Linked DNA regions of Arabidopsis thaliana. The protein of the gene in region 1 interacts with the protein of each later gene in a biochemical or structural test. Each region holds a gene or a part of one and is shown in the gene's direction. Other genes may lie near its edges.

Region 1 (12,384 bases):
CCGATTATAAGAAGAAAACTTGTTAGAAGCGAGGCCACCATTTCTCACCCAAACGATACAAAATTAGGTTAGGTAAGATAACATTTGAGTAGATCTAGTTTTTCCAAGCAAACCAGGTCTAGTTTAATAATCGTAATTTTGAAATACTAAAAGATCGGATTAAATTTGACAAAGTGTATTGCTCCTTTTTATAAATATAGTATATAACTACGATATGTTTTGTTAAGGTTGATGAGACCCTGATAATATGAGTATATGACTACAGTCTAGCTACAAGCCTACAAGTTTCTATATGAAAGAACTAGTACAATAATAACTGATTAACTGTACTGTACGATATTCAAAAGAACTTAATTGTTTTTAATTAGAAGAGGAAGATGAGATTGGCGCACAAAAAAAAAAGAAAAAGAGGAAGAAGATGAGATAGTAATTGGAAGCTTTAAATCCCAATTAAGAGAGGCTACAGCTGTAATCATTCGAAACGTATTTACTTATATGATGTCACCGTAATAAAATTTCTTGTAATAATAACTTTCTCATTTATCTAGTTGGAGTCACAATGTCTACTTGAACCACTGGAATAAACAAAAAAACTTCACTTGAAAAAGTAATAAATTTGATGACAGCTCTTTAACTATACCAAACGGATTCATACTAACTTCAACTTCTTTGATCAATTATTCCAAACCCTAAATTCTAGACCTAAAATCAAACTAAATTTGGTAACACATCAATTTAATACTCTATTAGAAGAAAACTAAACTATAAATATCGATTATGTATTTGATCCTACTATATTATTTGGGAAGTACATTTTAAATGTAACCTTAATTTTTGTAAGTAATTATATAGATATGCCATTAGAAATAAAATTTTAAAGAGTAAATTAATTTATCTCTTTAAGGATTAAAAAGTCAAATACTAATTTAATTAAAAAACAAAATACATTATTATTTTCCACAAATAATAACCAATCAAAATCAACATATAAGATTTGATATCTAAATTTTAATTAATTTAATTTAATTAAAAAACAAAATACATTATTAATTTCCAAAAAAGTAACCAATTAAAATCAACAAATTATATTTGATATCTAAATTATCATATTAATTTTTTATTAATTATTATAGTTCACTTCTCATCTTTATATGATTTTATTTTTGCGGAAAAATAATATCATCATTATAAAAAAAGAATTAGAGTTATTTTGCATATGCCACAATTTGAATTTTTAAAAACGAATATAAACTGTTCAATACATGAAAAAATATTATAACGGGTGAAAAATAGATTTAAGAAAACTTTCTACTGAGTAACGGGTCATAATTTGAAATATTTATATTCAATTTCATACATATTATATTGAAAATTTATAATCTTATATATTACAATAATTAATAACATATTAGATGTGATTCAATTTTTAATAAAAGCTGGAAAATCCTAGAATTGACGGTTTAGATCGATATTAATACAAGATGGAATACTACAAGTGAAACTCTTAAATTAACTATCAAACTACAAGTGTATAATCTTAAACACTAAACAATATAGATAATATCAACAAAACATACACATGAGATCAATTAAATTTTAATCACATAAAAATTAGCACAAAAAAAAGTATTCAACAATTAAATTTTTATCAAATCTCTGTGTTATATAAGTTTTGATACTATATTCGAATAATGTAATATACCTTTTCAATTTGTATTCTTTAACTAATTTAATCTAACTAATATATTTGCTAATCTTATACCTATCAAAACCGACTATCGTTTCTTATCTCTATAGTATTTTTGCAAGACTTTTTTGGTGGATTTGGATAAAAGTGTATTCGGGTCATATGGTACATTCTCCTATTAAATAAATATGGTGCACTCCGATGTTATTAGCTAAAATGTTTAGAATATAATTCAGAGTCATATCATTAATAAAATTAATATTAATAAAATAAATGACTTTTTGGCAAGACGAATTTGGAGGGACGGGTTTTTGAATCAACATTAATAAAAAAGTAAAATATAATTAATCCACCGTTTTAATACGGGTTAAATCTTTAATTAATTATTTTTTAAGACCACTAATATTAAACATATCAAATCATCCTAATTTAGAAAAGATTATATAAAACCAAAAATGTTATGTGGTATGTATAATATTACTATATATAAAATTAAACAATAAAATATAAATGTATTAGAGAATGATACAATGTGCAAAACTTTTATATATAAAAAATAATTCTTAAATTTTAAAAATTACTACTTTAAAAAAAAAATCACGGGACGGGTAAAAAATTTACAGAACGGGTTTTATTTTGGAATTGGGTTATATGGTGGATGTATTTGAATCAATATTTATAAAATTTTAAAATATTATTAATATGCTGTTTAAGTAGGGATTAAAACTTCAGTTTTTTAACAATTATCTCATGAATTCGTGGTATAGTGTTATTTAATAACAATTATAAACTGTAAAATAAAAATATTTTATAAAAATAAAATTTGCAAGTTTTAATATATATTACTTTTAAAAAATAAATCGTCCCGCAGTATATCACATGTTAAAATCTAGTTTATATATCATTTTGATACTTTTTTAAAACAGAGACCGGTGCAGTTTAGTAGTTACGTGGATACCAAATATATCATACAAGTTAATATAGAAATTAAGAATCAGATACGACGTTCCAAACAAATACTTAAACGTGTGTAGACCTTAGGAAACATTGCCAACTGGCAACTTTGTATTATACTACCAAAATCTAGATATCTATAAATCTAGAGGTGTGTATGATAATGAATATTGAATAGTATATGTTTGATATTCAATGTTATACTATTCAGATATCAAATACCTGGATGTATATATGTCAACTGAAAACAAATATAATTCTCTTAGTATGAAGACTATTTACATCTAAATCATATGAATAACTAATTAACTTTTTCTTCTTTTTTTTGTTAATTTTCAAAAACTATGTCATTTGTTATGTATTACATAATCACTTAAGATATATATAAAAAAAAATGCCCTAACGAATTTCGTCCACAACATATGAATCGAGCTAGCTATTTAGATATTTCTATTATGCATATGATGAATCATAGATTGATAAACATATTATATATTTTTTGAAAAATGGTAGTTCAATTTCTTTTGACACTAATTAAACATGAAAGAGACATGTCCTTCGGGTGTAAGAATACCTAAACAGACAAAGCAGAGAGTCATAAATATCTTATGATTATAAATGGAAGAGACATATAAAAAATGTTTATTGTGTACTAATCCCTTATATAGTTTATGTTGGACAACTCCATATTAATTTAGGTTTACTTATATTTCGGTTATGAAACTCTAAAAAGTATTGTCTCCCACTATCCATTAGGACAAACTGGCAAAGGCAACCACCTCAACAACATCAAAGAACAAGAATTATTCAACTGTTCTACAAAACTATACTAGTACTATTACAGTTGTTTGTAGCATATACTTTTCCAAATAGAATTTTATACGATTTTCTTTTCCATATTTTTTGAAAATGACAAGTGATATGATTTGAGAAAAAACAAAAAAAAAAAACAAATTTATACAGTGAGGCCTGCAAGACCATAAAACAAACTAAAGCCGTTCATTAAGGTTCCATTAATTGGGCCTATATTTTTCTCGTTATATTATGAGCCTGTTATAGGCCCATTAGTAATAATTTATCGGGTTATGAAGTAAATTTTCAGATAATTAAGGGTCTCAAGTATAAATATCTTAAATAACAGACCCATCTACCTGGAAATATGAGTATTTGGGCAGAGAGGGGTGTTTTCGTAAATTCAAGTACATACTTTATTTTTATTTTTTTGCTTTCTTCGCCTTTTGCTCCCTCCTCGAGAATTTCCGATCGTGCTTTCCTCAAAAGCATTTCTGTTTCTCGTCGTCGGAGCCCGACGACAGATCTCTGAATCGCTGGAGAAACAGTAAGTAAATCTACAGATCTCGTTTCTTCGAACTTCTTCTTCGTATACTATTTGTTTGTATCGTTCCTTCGTTGTGCATTGATGTTCTTAATGATTACTAGAATCTAAGTCAGAAGTTACCTCTATTTGTTCTTCTTCTATATTTGAACTAGATTTCGTTCTAGCGTCGAACAAACTCCTCGTTTTCTTTGATTCGCATTGCTGGTGATTTTCCTGAATTTCGAGATTTAGCGAGACGTGTCTCGAGTTCTCTTGTGTTGACGGGATTTTTCTTATCTGGAGAACTGATAATAGTTTCATGACACTGTCACTGGTCTGTTGAATTGTAGTTTAAACTTATTCCATCGGATATAGTGACTCTTAACTCTATAAGTTGCTGATTTTGTAGATGGGTTTAGTGTTATCAGGTTTATTGATGTAACAACGAGTTTACAAACTTTGCTATTTAGGGATCTGTAGGAATTCGTTTTTTTGGGGGCTCAAATTGTTGGAAATAGTTGCTTAGCTATTCACAATCTAAATGTGATTTGGGAAATCTGCAACATATGTTATTACTATGGAAGAGGTTACTCTATATAGTTACTAAATTATCAGCATGGTTTCTGACCATTATAGAATTCTTTGCTTGTGGTTTATTTGTTTGAATCAAAGTGGTTTCATTCAGAGACAGCGTTGTAGATTTTGATTATCTCTGTAATGTATGATGTGAAAAGTTACGCCACTTTCTATCTTATTAGCTCTTGAAATGCATCTATTATCTGTTTTAAAATAAGATTTTTTAAATTTAATTTGTTTTTTTTTGCCAGTAATGATTGAGTTTGGCCTCTATCTGTGAAGGGTATATGCTCCGGCTGTATCTACTTTATATTCTGCCAGGAAGATTGTGAGCATTGAAGTGCCTTGGGCTCTGGCTGAAGATTTGAGCAGATTAAATGGGTCGCCTAAAGTTGCATTCTGGAATCAAGGCCATTGAGGAAGAACCTGAGGACTTTGAGTGTACTGATTCAAGTAATACAACCACTTTAGCATGCATGATTGATACGGAAATTGCTGCTGTTTTAGCGGTTATGAGAAGAAATGTAAGATGGGGAGGTCGATACATGTCTGGTGATGATCAACTAGAACACTCGTTGATTCAGTCACTTAAAGCTCTTAGAAAACAGGTGTTCTCATGGAACCAGCCGTGGCATACAATTAGTCCCATGTTGTATCTTCAGCCCTTTCTTGATGTGATACGGTCAGATGAAACTGGAGCACCAATAACCAGCATTGCTTTGTCATCAGTTTACAAGATCTTAAACCTGAATGTAATTGATCAAAATACTGCGAATATTGAAGACGCTATGCACTTGGTAGTTGATTCTGTGACAAGCTGTCGATTTGAGGTGACAGATCCTGCATCAGAAGAGGTTGTGCTAATGAAGATACTTCAGGTTCTTCTAGCATGTATGAAAAATAAAGCATCAGTTATGCTAAGCAATCAGCATGTATGCACTGTCGTCAACACTTGTTTTCGTGTTGTCCACCAAGCAGGAATGAAAGGTGAGTTATTGCAACGAGTAGCTCGCCACACGATGCATGAATTAGTGAGGTGTATCTTCTCGCATCTCCCAGATGTTGAAAGAACAGAAACTACACTTGTCAACAGAGCTGGTAGCATCAAACAAGAGGTATGGTATTGGGGTCCTTGTTATTTCCTTTCTAGTTGGTTACAAGTCAGTTTGGTCCTGTAGGATGTTCTGAGATTAAATAAAAACATGATACTACAGTAGCTAGGTTCCTTTACTTGCAACCTAGAAAATTGAAAAAGCAGAGAAACTATTTAAATAGAAATGATAAAGAGCCATAGATTTGGCGATTTGTTAAATATAGGTCTGCAACTTACTCTTGAACTTCAAAATTATGTAGACGCTTGTTTTCATTCAGATAGGAAAATATATTTTTCCTAGTGCGAGTCAAAGATCACTACTAGAGAATTTAGACCAGAAACTCTGTAGATAGTGAATAATTAATTTCATACGGAATAATTTTCCCAACAAATGCTGGATTTTAAGCCTTCTTCCCTTGATTCATATATCACTAATTATTGTACAATAATTAGTGATGGTGTTTTGCATGGTCGCAGAAAGCTGGAGTAGACAGTGATTATGCCATTGTGAGTAAACCAGTCGAGGATGGAAATGCTAATTCCGAGTATGATGTTGAAAATTCTATGGCAACTTTTGCAACTGGTGCTCAAAGTTTGATGGATGATGGACCAGTTGGCCCTGGAAGCAGAAAGCCGGCTTCTCCATATGATTTGCATATAATGACAGAGCCATACGGAGTCCCAAGTATGGTGGAAATTTTTCACTTCTTGTGCTCTTTGTTAAATGTGGTCGAACATGTTGGTATGGGATCCCGATCAAACACCATAGCATTTGACGAAGATGTGCCTCTGTTTGCGTTGAACTTGATCAACTCAGCCATTGAATTGGGTGGATCGTCCATCCGCCATCACCCAAGATTGTTAAGCCTAATTCAAGATGAGTTATTTCGTAACTTGATGCAGTTCGGATTGTCGATGAGCCCCCTGATTCTTTCGATGGTTTGCAGCATTGTGCTCAATTTGTATCAACATCTACGAACTGAACTCAAGTTGCAGCTTGAGGCATTCTTTTCATGTGTGATTCTAAGGCTTGCTCAAGGAAAATATGGGCCCTCGTATCAGCAGCAAGAGGTTGCTATGGAGGCTCTTGTGAATTTTTGTAGGCAGAAGAGTTTTATGGTTGAAATGTATGCCAATCTCGATTGTGATATAACTTGCAGCAACGTGTTTGAGGAGCTGTCTAATCTTCTCTCGAAGAGCACATTTCCTGTGAACTGTCCTTTGTCTGCAATGCACATTCTTGCTCTGGATGGCCTAATCGCTGTTATTCAGGGAATGGCCGAGAGGATAAGTAATGGATTGACTGGTTTGGATTTGGGTCCTGTCCATCTTGATGAGTACACGCCTTTCTGGATGGTTAAGTGTGACAACTATAGTGATCCAAATCACTGGGTTTCATTTGTCCGCAGGAGAAAATATATCAAGAGAAGGTTAATGATTGGAGCAGATCATTTTAACAGGGATCCAAAGAAGGGGTTAGAGTTTCTCCAAGGCACACATCTTTTGCCTGACAAACTCGATCCCCAAAGTGTTGCTTGCTTTTTTAGATATACTGCTGGGCTTGATAAGAACCTTGTTGGGGATTTTCTTGGAAATCATGACGAATTTTGTGTTCAAGTTCTCAATGAGTTTGCTGGGACTTTCGATTTCCAGTACATGAATCTGGATACTGCACTCCGACTCTTCTTGGAAACCTTCAGGTTGCCTGGAGAATCCCAGAAAATACAGAGAGTGCTTGAGGCGTTCTCTGAAAGATACTATATGCAATCTCCTGAGATTCTGGCCAACAAGGATGCTGCTCTTGTGTTATCATACTCTATTATCATGCTTAACACTGATCAGCACAACGTTCAAGTAAAGAAAAAGATGACAGAAGAGGATTTCATTCGCAATAATAGGCATATCAATGGAGGAAATGATCTACCTCGAGAATTCTTGTCTGAACTCTTTCACTCCATCTGCAACAATGAGATCAGGACTACTCCAGAACAAGGTGCAGGCTTTCCTGAAATGACTCCCAGCCGTTGGATTGATTTGATGCATAAATCAAAGAAAACTGCTCCATATATTCTGGCTGATTCAAGGGCTTATCTTGACCATGATATGTTTGCTATCATGTCTGGTCCAACCATTGCTGCCATATCAGTCGTTTTTGACCATGCAGAACATGAAGACGTTTACCAGACATGCATCGATGGATTCTTGGCTATAGCTAAAATTTCTGCCTGTCATCATCTTGAAGATGTGCTTGATGATCTGGTTGTCTCTCTCTGCAAATTCACAACTCTGTTGAATCCATCATCTGTTGATGAACCCGTTCTTGCATTTGGTGATGACGCAAAAGCAAGGATGGCTACTATCACAATTTTTACCATTGCAAACAAATATGGAGATTATATACGTACGGGTTGGAGGAACATATTGGACTGTATCTTACGGCTACATAAACTTGGACTTCTGCCAGCTCGTGTAGCCAGTGATGCAGCTGATGAATCAGAACATTCATCTGAGCAAGGGCAAGGAAAGCCCCTCGCGAATTCCCTATCTTCAGCTCATCTACAGTCAATGGGAACTCCGAGGAGATCTTCCGGATTGATGGGAAGATTTAGTCAGCTTCTTTCACTTGATACAGAAGAGCCAAGATCACAGCCTACTGAGCAACAGCTTGCAGCTCATCAACGAACACTTCAAACAATTCAGAAATGTCACATTGACAGCATATTTACCGAAAGCAAGTTTCTACAAGCTGAATCTTTGTTGCAGCTTGCGCGTGCTCTCATTTGGGCTGCAGGTAGGCCACAGAAAGGAACCAGTTCTCCAGAGGATGAGGATACTGCGGTTTTCTGTCTGGAATTGCTTATTGCAATCACTCTAAACAACAGAGACAGGATCGTTCTCCTATGGCAAGGCGTCTATGAACATATAGCTACAATTGCTCAGTCAACGGTGATGCCCTGCAACTTAGTGGATAAAGCTATTTTTGGTCTACTTCGGATCTGCCAGAGACTACTTCCTTATAAAGAAAGCCTAGCTGATGAGCTTTTGAGATCTCTTCAGCTTGTGCTGAAACTGGATGCACGTGTTGCAGATGCCTATTGTGAGCAAATTGCAATTGAAGTCAGCCGTCTTGTGAAAGCCAATGCTAATCACATCAGGTCTCAGGCGGGTTGGAGAACAATCACATCCTTACTCTCCATCACAGCGCGGCACCCAGAAGCTTCTGAATCAGGATTTGATGCCGTATCCTTTGTTATGTCTGAAGGAACTCACCTGTATCCAGCCAATTATGTACTCTGTGTTGATGCTGCAAGACAGTTTGCTGAATCCCGCGTGGGACAGTCCGAACGCTCTATCCGTGCCCTTGATCTAATGGGAGATTCATTAGAATTTTTGGCTAAATGGGCTCTCTCAGCTAAGGAAAACATGGGAGAAGAAGATTTCGGGAAGATGTCACAAGATATTGGGGAAATGTGGTTAAGGCTTGTTCAAGGACTAAGAAAAGTGTGTTTAGACCAGAGGGAGGATGTCCGAAACCACGCTTTACAGTCATTACAGAAGTGTTTAGGCGGAGTAGACGGAATCAACCTAGCTCATAGCATGTGGTCTCAATGCTTTGACAAAGTAATCTTCACGGTTTTGGATGACTTACTTGAGATAGCTGCTGGGTCACAGAAAGACTACCGAAACATGGAAGGCACATTGCTTCTCGCAATCAAACTTCTCTCCAAAGTGTTTCTTCAGCAACTCCAAGAGCTATCTCAGTTATCAACCTTCTGCAAGCTATGGCTCGGTGTTCTAACTCGAATGGAGAAATACATGAAAGTGAAAGTAAGAGGCAAAAAAAGCGACAAGCTACAAGAATCAGTACCAGAGCTTCTCAAAAACATATTGCTGGTGATGAAGACGAAAGGCGTGCTATTGCAAAGAAGTGCTCTTGGTGGAGATAGCTTATGGGAGCTAACATGGCTTCATGTGAATAACATTGCACCGTCTATGCGACTGGAGCTATTCCCTGATCAAGAATCCTCACAACTTGGTGATGATGAAACCGTATCGAATGGCTTATCTTCTCCTGAAAACACAACTGGTTCGTGACCTTACAAGTGAGATCATTAGGTGAGTTTCTTTCGAATATCCATATAAGTACTGTGAAAGTGAAAGCTTCTTATGTAACACCTCTCTACGTTTTTTTTTGTAATATATAAGTCTTTCTAATTCAGAGACTCGTATTAATTAAGCAAGTTTCTTAATTACGACTTTGTTAATCACGGACCTTTGGAACGAGGTAGAAGGTCTTGAACATGTGTGGAACCCACCAAAGGAAAAATATCAGTAGATTCAGGAGAGTTGTTAAATTTTGCCTCCACGAGTTTTTTTCTTTTCTTCTTGTTGAGTCGTTTACGTCACGTCGAGAATTTTCTCTTTTCCCGAGAAAATTAAGAAAGGATCGTTTGATTTTCTAAGAAGGGAAAGATAAACAGTGAATTAGAAAGAGAAGGAAGTTTCAATGGAATCGCTAACATCTATTTCTCCTTCCATAATTCTTCCTCCGGCCACCACTACTACGATCCCCGTTTCAACTTCACGATCAGTGTTGATTCGTCTTCCTTCACGCCGTTCTTCTTACCTTTTCGGCTTGTCCAGCTCCGGGAGACGGATTTCGATTTCTAGAAGAAGACACTTCGTTAGCTGTAAATCGACCGGCGGCGGAGGAGGAGGATCAGATAAGCTTGGTGGCGATGAAGAAGAGAGCGAGGAAGTTGAGAAGGCGCTTCACTTGGATGGTACGATCCCTGGGACTTCCGATGAGTTTGTAAGGCAAGTTTCGTCGCGTGCTTACGACATGCGTCGGAAACTTGAGCAGACGTTTGATTCCACTAGCTATGACGGTATAATCTCTATCGCTCTCAATTCCTGCGTTTACTTTGATTTTGGTGATGCAAAATTAATACTTTCGTTGATGCAACTAACTTGATCAGAGTTTCTTAAAGATTGTCTAGGAAGTTTGGGAACTGTAGTAGTTTGAAATTCCCTTAGTGCCTTGTTTTTGTTAACAGGAGTCAAATCGTTTTGTTGAACAATGTCAGAATTTAGTCACTGTGTCACACACAACCGGTGAAGAAGCTCTCCATTGATAGATGTAGTGTTAGTTATGATTCAAAAGTTTGTGTTCTGCATACCATTTCTTTAGTTCCCCAGGAGAAGAGTGCTTCAGCTGAACTATGATGAGGAAAATTGTTCATTTCTAGATTCCACTCTTACAGTAAGATTGCAAGCACGGTTTTATCATCTCATCTTTCACATAGTGCTGATGCATAGGAATATCAAAGCAATAGGAACATAAGTGTTTTATTCAATTTAAGCTTGTATTCATCTAAAGTTAATAAATTGATGTTGTTCCTTTAGTGCTCTGTATCTTTGACTGAGTGATTTCGTTGAGAACCATTTCTCTCACTGTGGCTTCTCACAATCTTAGTGTTGGAGTCCAACCCATGGAGAGGAGATTCGAAGCCTGTATATGTATTAACACATAGAGAAAACCAGATATGTACCATGAAAACAAGAACAAACCACAGGTTCCAACTCTATTCCACTCAAGTTTTTTTTTATAGTTTTAGTTTTCTTCTCCCTATGACATTAGCAATCCTTATAAACAGTGAAGTAGAAAAAGAGCTTGGACTGTTGTTCCCTAGTAGGATCAGCAACCAGACAAAGCAGGCTAGACCCAAAACTAAATTCGATATGCTCGTAGAAGACATTCGAGATGGAGTACTGGTAAGTATTCTCACTGAATCACTTTCAAGACCTTATGAAACCCAGACAACGTGATATGCCTAGTTTTTATCTCAAAGGTTTTCGAAGATGTGAATGAGGCTGTTAGATACTGTGACCTATTACAAGGGGGAGGGAAAGGGTGTGAAGGTGTCGCTGAGATTGAGGCCTCCTCTGTAAGATTATGAGACAAAGATATCATCTAATTCTAGAACTTGTTGCCTTTAAACATTTGAAATGATCTGCTTTTTTTTTTTTGAATAGGTTTTTGATCTTTGTCGGAAAACAAGGTCTCTGGCAGTGCTCTTCCGCCGTGGAAGAACACCACCTACACCTCAGACGCTGGAACGTAATCTCGGATCCCGGAAGCGTTCTCTTGAGGACTTGAGGGATAATAAATAGCTTGTGAAACAATGTATTAATTTTACTTGCAATAATTGAAAATACTTTGTATAGACTAAACAGTAATTAACCGTGGGTGATACTGTGTATATATATAAAATGCATTTTACTTGTGCTCCATAACTTTTTTTTGTTCCTTATAATTCTCTTGAAGTTGCGCTCTTTTCTTTGAAGGCTTTAAAGCTAACACTAGTAGGTAATGTATTACTTGGTCAATCAACATGTGAGTATTTATAGTATCTATGATTAGTTGACAAAAAAGACCATTGTATATTGAACTTCTTAACATGAAAAATAGTGACTTTTTTTTGTTTAGATAAAAATAGATATGCTAAAGGCATATGCTAGTGTATTATTAATAAAAATCATGTGATAGATGTGATTCCATGTTATCCGGATCGTTGACTTGACTTAGTACCCATAACGTTTATTATATAATTCATATAGCATTTTATGATTGTCAAATTTATATTTATACATATGATAGACTATTATGTCAAAAAGACAGGTAAAGCCACTTTGTTTACTTATTCTTTCTTAACTCAAAACTCCAAAGGGTAAAATCAAGGTGACCATTACTCT
Region 2 (10,331 bases), on another chromosome or scaffold:
CTTGGATAAGAGATGATCTATAAGAGGAAATGTCAAAGACTTTGTTCGTATATTAACAATATGATATGAATATTTTGGAACATAAACAATGAATCTTTTTCTAAATCACATATATAGCTAGAAGTCTATTTCGATGTGTTTAGTTCTTTTATAGATGGTTAAATGTTGGACATTATAAATTGAAGATTTATCACAAGACGCTGAGAATGGAGATGAATCAGTGTAACAATCATCTAGAAGGTCATTCAACGAAATATAAAACTAAGATACACTATGTTACAAAAGAAAAATATATATTGGCCATTGCACTGTATTAAGCCAATAAAGATGCATAGTGCTAGAATTCACAACAAGTTAACTAGTAAAAGATGCATAGTTTCTAAACAGAATCAGTTCAGAGAGATAATCTGTGTACTTACGGGTTTTAAAATGTCGGATATCTATTTACATATGGCTATGTTAAGAGTTTAAAAGCTATACAAAGATTGTAATCGAGTGTTTTGGAAAAAAATTAAACACAATGATGATGATAGAAATATTTTTGTTCAGAAAAAGTTAAAATGAATTGATTTGCATACTGACTGATACTTTACAAATAGATTTTTTTTTTGTGAAAATTCAATTATTTAAATTTTGAGACGTATAACTTGAAGATAATAGAAATGATTAACAACAAGTCAACTTAATTATAACTAAGCATATATTCAGTGGTAGACAGTGATATAATTTTACTTTTAAGAGATTAGATGGATGTGATATGGTAAAGAATAAAAGCATGAGTAAGTGATTAGGCCCCAACTCCTTTATAAATTCCACCACCACCATTTATATGCTTTTTTGTTTTTGGTGTCATTGTCATTCAAAAAGTCTTTCATTAATAATCATGAAGAAGAAAAAAAAAAACTTCCTTTTTTGTTTTACTTTTATCTTCCACATTTTATATTCTCCGCCACAAAGGTCTCCTTTTGTATTTCCCCTTTAGGAAAAGGAAATTTACTCAATGACCAATCATTATTACCATAAAATAGTTTTATTATTTTCAGGCCAATTAAAGACAAACAAACATTGATCATTGGACTACCGGCTGCTTTTCAATTTAATTATATTTTTGGTTTCAGCTAATTTATAAATTAGTAAATTTTGATTCAAATATTAATTTGATCGCTTGTATGATTTAAATTTAATTCGATTGGTAATTCAAAATCATAATAGTTTTTTTGTACAAAATAGGATACCTCTTACTAGACTTGCAGGGGTTGCTTGGGTGTTGAGGAATGACAGAGGCAATGTCTTGATGCACAGTAGAAGAGCCTTCTCCAATATTTCCTCCTTTTTGGAGGCTCAATTTCTAAGCATTGTTTGGGCTGTTGAGAGTATGGTTAGTCATCATGTGAATAGGGTGGTTTTTGGTGTGGAAGCTGCGGTGCTTGTTGGGGTGTTAAACAGGCCGCAAGCTTGGCCTTCTTTTAGGTTTCAGTCTTCGGAGATCTTGTTAGCTTTAAATGGCATTGCAGTTTGGAAAGTGGTGCTTGAATCGGTGTCTTCGAATAGAGGTGCTAATCTCATTGCCCAAAGTGTTACTAAGGAGTGTAGGCTTCAATCGTACGTGGCCGTAAGTTTTCCTGCTTGGCTTCTTGGTGTCTTTAGGGATGAGAGAGTTCTAACCTCTGTGGACTGAAGTCTTTTTGCTTTTAGGCTCCTTGCTTTTTGGGAGGCTTATTCTTTTGTTGCCCTGTTAATTTTTGGATTCTCAGGGTTGACCTTTTAGTGGGTGTTTCTTGTGCCCCTTGATCTCATTTTTTGGTCTGACTTTCTGCAAGTCAGTTGTAATTGTGCTAATATCTAATATAACAAGTAATCTACCTTTGCGACAAAAAAAAGGATACCTCTTACTATTGCAGTAAGAGGATACTAATTATCAAATTCATTAGAATCATACTCTCAACAAATCCAAACTGTCACATAAATAAAATAGTATTCATCAGTTCAAAAACAAAGTTTAGTATTCATTATAATTCTGTTTTTAACAATGAAATATCAATATATAATAGTCTCAACATCGCACACTGTACGTGAAAATAGCTTCTCATCTATATCATGTCTTATTGTGAGAGTGTAGTAGGTATGGTATAATGACTATGCTTGGAAAAACTAAGAACGGTATGACCGCAATAAATGATCATTCATTGATACTTTTAGTACAACACAATAAATAATCCTTTTTTGTATCATCTTGAAATAATATAGTATATGCCAAATTTATTGTTTAAAAGTGTAGTTCTTAGGATTAAGACATGCAATCTAAAATTAGTTGGTACTAATAATCGTTGATAATCACTACTTGGTTTTAATTTGAGAATGCATGTTGTTGACATATAAATGTGTAGTTGAGAATACATGCTTCTGGTTAAAAAGGCATTAGACCTTTTGGTTTGGGAGAACCTACAAAGGGTATATATAGTTAATCCGGAAAGAAGAGATCAGAAATATTTTCAAGTTTTCAACAGTCACGTTTCGACATAAATTTTGGTCAAGAACATTGACAAAGATTTTGTGTACTGGTGTAACTTTTCATCCACACAGACTACTTTTCTATATTATTTTAGGCATTTTCTGACTTGAACGTCGAAAAGTTTTCGAAAAAACACAAGTTACAACAATGTTACGACAGTTTAGATTGATAACTTAAGGAATGTGAGCTAGGTGTACGATCATCTATAGCAATAAGCAAAAGTGAGAGATTTCTTTAACAAAAAAAAAGTGAGAGATTTTCGACATTGGACATGTGATTGCGAATAGAATTAAGACACGAAGATTTTTTCTTTTGCCAACAGACATGTGGATCAAAGATGAGACGTAGCATAGAGGATTGCTACTTGATCGATGGAAGAGAAATGTGTATTCAGACTCAAACTCTCGACACCACAGATGACTCGACAAGACAGCAGTAGTCGAATCTAATTTAAAAGGTATTCGATTTGACCCTTACTTTTCTCTATTATTCTTTTCTTGAAGGCATCTTATTTTCGTTTCAGTCAATCCTTTATATACTTTTCCACCATCCACTGATTAATAAAAAGAAAGTAGAATCTATTAGTTTCATCTCTTTGGATACGCAAATGTGCTAGAATCTATTAACGAGCACTATAATTCATAATTTATCTAGCCAGTTATTTTGAAACTCTTAAGATATTTTGGTTCATTATGGTTTAATCTTGTTTAAACCGATTAAAACCGATTACCATGCAATATTATAACGATCAGTTGTATGTAAAACTCAACCCGATTACTGTAAATTCAAAATAAATGACATGATTTTATGTGTTTACATAATTATGAATATATTTAACGTTTGAGCCATTCATATTGCATGATGTTAATCTATTGCAATTTATGCAGAATTCATCTCAAAATATTAAGTTTATAGCTTCAAACTAGTAGAGATATTTTCTATGGTGAATTTGTGACTGCATATATCCTTCTGAGGTTAACATATCATGTGAATGTTGAACTTACAAGAAAAGACACAAAATGTGAAAACTAGTTGTCTTTATAAGGATTGCAAACCCTTTGTGTCAATTGTCAAAAGATAACGCAGATGTTTTATCTTTCTAAAAGTAGCCTGTTTTATATTGAAATCTAATGACTTTTTTTAATGAATACTTGAGTGTGAAGGCTCCAGCGATTACGGATGAAAAGTGAATGTTTCAAAAGTATGTGGATCAACATGTAATTATGTTAGAATTTTGTATATATATATTCCAAGAACATATTGTCCTGACATGCGTCAAGTACTTAGTGATTTAGAATTAATATGGAAAATAAAATGACGCAACGATGATTATGTTTAGTAGAGACTAGAGAGAGGTGGAACTTTTGGGTGATGTCGTTGTCGTCTTCGTGACACCACCACGACAATGTTTGTGGTAACTGGTCAATTATGGTGACCTACTTTTTTGTATGTTTTTCCTAACGAGTCAAAACCCGATATTAACACATTCCTCTAAAAACAACTGATATTATTAAGCTTTCGGCTTTGATTAGAAGCATATTTAGAAATGGTTTTCGACGTGAATATCCTTATCGTTTATTTATCATACCGATGGATAAAACGAATAGTTGCATGAAACACTTGGTCTAAATAAACATACGGTTATAGTTTTAACAAAGTGGTTGTAAAGACAAATGGTTTACAACAACACTTGGCTTTTACAACAAATGGTTTACAAAAACAAATGGTTTACAACAAATGGTCATTGGTCTAGTAGTTTTGTATTTTCATTTGAGAAGAATTGTCGCTGGAGACTAGTGATCAACTCCTCTCAAACACAAAATTATCAAAATCATTCCATTTAGTCAGTCGAAATGGTATCACGATCCATTAGAAAATTCAGTTAGTTAGATATTCGACTCAGTTATAAAAAATCCAGTAAAAACGGCTTACATACTTGTTATAAAAAAACCCCTCTTTTTTTTGGAGAAATATAGAAAATATTTTAAATTTTCAAATGAGTGAAAATATTTTAATCTTTGAAATTAGCAGTATTTTTTGCTACTAATGCATACTGATATGTATGGAATATTAAACACAGCTAGGAAAAAAGTGAATGAACCTATGTTGAAAACATTTACCTCTGAGCTATAATGGTCAGTAAGAAATTAAGAGTTATTCTCTCACGGATTCACAGTACACCCATTATAACAAAAGACTAGTCTTCTCTGACCTTCTTTTGTTGCCACAAGAAAAAAAAAGGTTTCGTCAAAAAATTTCAATTTCATGATGATGAAATTGAGGAATTACCTGAATAAATTGTATAAAGAAAGCATTATGATTTTGATATTTTCTCACCATAAAACCAATACTGTAAAAATGATACAAGTTGTTCTGGATAAAAGGGTCCACATTAAATTTAAAAAGCCCACTAAGAAGTCCAATAACAACTCCAGCGTATGTTAGCATTGGATCGTCAAACATAAACATTTCCTTTCTTCAACTACTACTCTGTTTTCACTTTTCGATTTGAGAAAAAAAAAAACGATCACGAAGATGGCGAAAGCAAGCTTTATTCTACTCGGAACTCTCTTCCTCTTCGGAGCCATAGCTTCAATTCAGGTAACTTCATTCATATCCTCTCGAATCTATATCTGTTCAAATGTTTCGTTACCACAAACGATACATTAGATCTACATCAACATTCTAATGGAAGTCACCAGATTGCTTAAGCTTCTAGTGTTATACTTCAGGAATTAAGAACTATGTGACTATTATGAGAGAGTTCAAATCTCTGTTTGTTAAAATTCAGGCAAAAGAAGATCTCAAGGAGGTTACTCACAAGGTTTACTTCGATGTAGAGATCGACGGCAAATCCGCTGGTATGATTCGATGATTTTAGTCAAAATGTTTGTTCATTAAGCTTACAGATTTGTTAAAATGGATTGTTGCTCAGATACAGCTGATGATTCTTGGTTTGTTTTGATGTTTGATTGATTCTCTGGTTATGATTATGTCGCAGGTCGCGTTGTTATAGGACTATTTGGCAAGGCAGTTCCTAAAACTGCAGGTACAATTATATGGTTTTTGAAGTTTTTGATCATGGTTCTGGACTATTTTAGTGTGTGCTTTATATCTAAGAGAGTAATTCGTGAGTGTGTTTGCTTCTTTGCAGAAAACTTCAGAGCTTTGTGCACAGGTAATCTACTAACTATATTCTTATAGTTTCACTATATAAACTTTACATTATGCACAATCTCGAAACAATATTACAAGCCGGACAATGAGAGTGCTAGTATTTGTTTTCATTAACATTTGTTTCGAGATCTAATGAAATTATTACGGAGTTATAATGGAGATAAGATGCATTTTATTTAATCTTTTCGGAACCGGTTTGTGTTACAATGTTTAAATTTGGCAGGGGAGAAAGGTGTAGGGAAGAGTGGGAAACCTCTACACTACAAGGGAAGCAAGTTCCATCGAATCATTCCCAGCTTTATGATCCAGGGAGGTGACTTCACGCATGGGAACGGTATGGGTGGAGAATCAATCTATGGTCAGAAGTTTGCTGATGAGAACTTCAAGCTGAAGCACACTGGACCAGGTTGGTGATCATTATTTTCCTTGAAGCAAAGTTTTGGCAAGTATTTAGAAATGTCTGATGGTTGACAATGTGATTGGATACAGGTGTACTTTCAATGGCGAACTCGGGAGAAGACACAAATGGTTCGCAGTTTTTTATCACAACGGTGACAACAAGCTGGTTAGATGGAAGGCATGTGGTGTTTGGGAAAGTGGTGCAAGGAATGGATGTAGTTTATAAGATTGAAGCTGAGGGCAAACAAAGCGGAACTCCTAAGAGCAAAGTCGTAATTGCAGACAGTGGAGAACTTCCTCTCTAAGAATAGCATTTTAAAGTTACTCTTACGAGTTAGTTGTAATCTAAACACGTCCCAAATGCTACAAGAACAGAATGGTGTCACTGGACTCTGAAATTTCGTTTTCTTGCGTAACAGACTTTTCCATGAAAATAGTACTCGGCCTTTCCTGTTTTTAGATACGCCATGGAAACTCTATGGAGTAGCTGCTGTATCAGCACGAATATCTTCATCCCATGCTGCTTTGCTCTGTAGATGAAGAAGCTAATCTAATTACTAGTAAAACGGAAAACCAGTAAATTGCAGCAAGCACGTCTTGGTCATGGTGACACGAAATCTCTGTGGTAATATAGAAGATAATCTAATTACTAGTAAAACGGAAAACCAGTAAATTGGCCAAAAATATCAAATAGAACCAGTGAAAACCAGTGAAAACCAGTGATAACATATGCTTCCATCTTCTCTAGAAATTTAGGAATTTGACTGAAACTGCAATTGGCTTGTAGCCCAAGTTAATTTTCAATGAATTCCTTCACCATGCCATGGAACATTGTTTTGATGTATCTATCACGTAACCTTTGCGGTCAAAGCAGTAGGTTTCACGGCATCCGGTGATCGGTGGAAGCATTATAGGGTTCATGACATCCGGTACTGGCCTAACAACGCCTTGTGCCCATGGAGACCTATTGCAGTAAACTATTTATGATGTGTGAGGAACCTAGTGGGGCTCATCTAAGACTCTTACCCACTCATTGCTCATTATGATGGAATGGATCATCAATTCATCATGATCTATATTCAATACTTAGCTATAGAACTGACCAGAGCCATCTAAAAGCTATTTCAATCCATAAAAGCTTTTAGAAAATGTAGTATCAAAAAAATCATGAAACTAGTGAATGAGATCATGCAGAATCAAAACAAAAACAGAGGAGCTGAATACAGAAGCATAAAATACCTTAGAGAACACGTAATAGACTAGTGCAAATATCCTAATCCTTGTAATCATATACAAACTCCATGACACTCCTAATCGCGCTTAAGAACCGGTGGTGGTAGTTGTGGTGTCGCCGTCCTTGGTCGTCCTCCGCCGCTGATCGAATTTTTTGGCGAAATTGAGAGATAAATCAGAGTAAATCTCCATAACTTGAGAGATATTACCGTTGATTTCGTTGATCAAGCCAACGTTTCTAGAGACGTTATCTGGGATTCGAGACATGTGGTTTTCGTTGACGCGTTGAATCAAATCACGATTCTGATCAAGATAAAGCTGTGCACGTTTGAATCCATTACTCAACGTATCCCACACCTCCACGTCTTCCACCGCTGCCGAAGCCGCAACATCTTCGCCGTCGTTTTCGTTCATCTCCGGAGATCGGTTGTTTCCGACGAGCGATCGATTTCTCGATGCTTCCATTATTTTACAAATACATCAAAATTATTCATTCATTGTTGACGACGCGATTGGAATTGTTTGTTTCTAAAGATATCTTTGGGAGGAAGAGAGATGAATTGGGGTGACACGTGGAAGAAACCGACCCGGAAAGCGGTTGGTCGGGTCAAGAAGATGACGGTGACGGGGTTGCGTGATGGACCAATGGGTGTTGAAAGAAGACGTCGTTGGAAGGTTATTTAGAAATTATTACATTATTTTTATTTTATATGAGAAATTAGTCTTTATGAAACAAAGATTACGAACAAAAATCTAACAATATCAAACGACAGCAATTGAACTATAACCCTAAAGAGAGCAAAACAAAATCAATATTCAGTGTACAAAACTATAAACATTAAAATTATTGATGGATTTGCTACTAACTCAACCGCAACTGTTATACCAATGCATATCTCAAAGTATCAAGTTCTACGAGCTCGAGTCTCATCACTTCTTCCACAAATTCTTAACAAAACAAGAAAATATATCTTTAGTGAAACTTATACATATCGAAACCAAATGAGGTCAAACTTATATTTATTTTTTTTGGGCAACAAAAAAAAAAGAAAAAGAAAATAAAAAAATAAGTTTGACCTCATTTGGTTTCGATATGTATAAGTTTCATTAAAGATATATTTTCTTGGTTTGCTCTCTTGAGGTCAAACTTATTCATACTGACCTTTTTCTGTTCTTTTCTGATCTCTTTAGGAAGACGAAGCCTAGCCGAAAACTAAAATGAAAATGCATAAGTGAAACAAGAAAAAGTGTTTCCATGGAGTGTGTGTGTGTGAAGAGATCTTCGATGGGTCTCTCTTTATATATATTCAAGGAACAAAATGGGTTAGTTGAAGAAAGATTTTAGGTAACATTTTATTTTTTACTTATCAGAGAGTTTTTTTCTCTCATTTGATTTGCGTGAATCGGTGTTAGGTCGTCGTTTAGGAGAGTGTGTTCACTTTGGTACATCCACAAAAACTGTTCCAAAATACACAACCAATTAAACCACAAAACATTATTTTATTTTACATGAGAAATTAATCTTTATGAAAGAAAGGTTACGAACAAAAAACCCCAACAATATCGAACGACAGCAATTGATCTATAAACCCTAAACACGGAAAAAACAGAATCAACCACACATCCAGTGTACAAAACTATAAAACCCTAATTAGAGCAAAACAGAATCTTATATTTTAGGTTTGTTTTTTTCGTCAATGTCCACAAAAACTAACTTTAAAAAGAATCATAACTACTCTTAAAACGGAACACCAGTGAAAAAGGCCAAAAATATCAAAGTTAGTCCCACAGGACTTTTTTTATCTTCTCTGGAAGTTGAGGTATTTGACTGAAAGTGCAAATGCTGAGAAGAAGAGAGCACAAAAACCGACAAGAACAGCAGCAGATACACCAATCATGTTTGGCTTGTAGCCGAAGTAATATTCAATAAACTCCTTCACCGTGCCATGAAACAATGGCTCGTTGATCATGCTTTCCACGTCACCAAGCTGCGAAAGGATTACTCCTTGTAGTGTCCACGCCACTGGACATATGTAATAGAACCATATCCACCACACTGGAATCAACTGAATTACCAAAACAAACACAAAGGGTTAAAGATTATAAGGGTTCAAAATGTGGTAAGGCTGATTAGTCAAGAATCAAATTTAGTAACAATAATCCATCAATACTTAGTTCTCGATTGTTCGAATGCATAACTATATTAGCTACCTCTCATAGAGTGATATTAAATACTTACAGGCTTTTGGACGAGGAAACCGGATAGGAGATTCCAGAGAGAGTAAAACGCAGAGGAGATCACAGCGGCTAAATGCTGATTCGGGGTGAGACCAACCGCCATCATGCCATAGAAGGTGAAGTAGGTGAATGTGAGGAACATGAACACCAAATACAGTACAAACTTACTGAACGTTCTTTCAAAGCCAATGGTGAAGTATGTGATGACACCGTAGAGAATGGTTTGGGTCAGAATGTAAGGTATCTCCACAAGACCCTGAGCTGCTGCATATGGAATTGGAGCATACATACCAGCGGCTTTCTCTCTGTAGAAAACTGTTCTTTCGATTGAAACGATTGGTTGTACTGATGAAGCGTTACTAACTCCAAGAAACAGACAAGCCGAGTAGAGAGCTCCCATTACGGTGATCAAATCCTGTGAGGAAGTCCTCTTGGAACCAATGTCCCAGAAAACTGTTCCCAGTATAAACGCAGCGATCGTTGTGAAGACTAATCTCACGAGATTGTATTCTGGACTTCTCCAGTAGACAAGGTTCTGTTTCCAGAGACAGAGTAGAAATTGAGATAGTTGGTTTTGTGAGTATCTTGATGTAAAGCTTATTGGTTCTGAGCCTTCTGGTGGAACACTGAGTTGCTTGATGTTTGCCTCTACTTCTCTGTTTAAAATACACAGTATATGGTTTGATTTATGTTTTTGAAAATGTAGCTTTAAGGATTGTGATAGTTACCTAAACTGGTCAGATTTCTTGTATAAATCTGCAAACTCCATGTT

The links.
Region 2: the proteins of GN (region 1) and CYP5 form a complex in vitro, tested with the Arabidopsis thaliana proteins (one study listed by BioGRID).

What each region holds. Positions count from the first base shown.
Region 1 is NC_003070.9:4,784,675-4,797,058, forward strand, and holds GN (sec7 domain-containing protein), read left to right. Parts: upstream 1-3,875; 5' UTR 3,876-3,980; intron 3,981-4,786; 5' UTR 4,787-4,912; coding exon 4,913-5,650; intron 5,651-6,105; coding exon 6,106-9,723; 3' UTR 9,724-9,980; downstream 9,981-12,384. Other genes in the region: AT1G13990 (plant/protein), read left to right, coding at 10,136-10,517, 10,608-10,645, 10,820-10,891, 11,105-11,142, 11,241-11,403, 11,481-11,576, 11,665-11,802. UniProt on the Arabidopsis thaliana protein: Activates the ARF proteins by exchanging bound GDP for free GTP. Plays a role in vesicular protein sorting. Acts as the major regulator of endosomal vesicle trafficking but is also involved in the endocytosis process.
Region 2 is NC_003071.7:12,765,245-12,775,575, reverse strand, and holds CYP5 (cyclophilin 5), read left to right. Parts: upstream 1-4,966; 5' UTR 4,967-5,047; coding exon 5,048-5,113; intron 5,114-5,303; coding exon 5,304-5,373; intron 5,374-5,513; coding exon 5,514-5,561; intron 5,562-5,666; coding exon 5,667-5,690; intron 5,691-5,912; coding exon 5,913-6,095; intron 6,096-6,178; coding exon 6,179-6,393; 3' UTR 6,394-6,620; exon of another isoform or gene 6,621-6,724; intron 6,725-6,962; 3' UTR 6,963-6,965; intron 6,966-7,138; exon of another isoform or gene 7,139-7,332; 3' UTR 7,333-7,408; coding exon of another isoform or gene 7,409-7,786; 3' UTR 7,787-7,966; downstream 7,967-10,331. Other genes in the region: ELF4-L1 (ELF4-like 1), read right to left, coding at 7,409-7,786; ABCG31 (pleiotropic drug resistance 3), read right to left, coding at 9,121-9,387, 9,561-10,215, 10,288-10,331. UniProt on the Arabidopsis thaliana protein: PPIases accelerate the folding of proteins. It catalyzes the cis-trans isomerization of proline imidic peptide bonds in oligopeptides.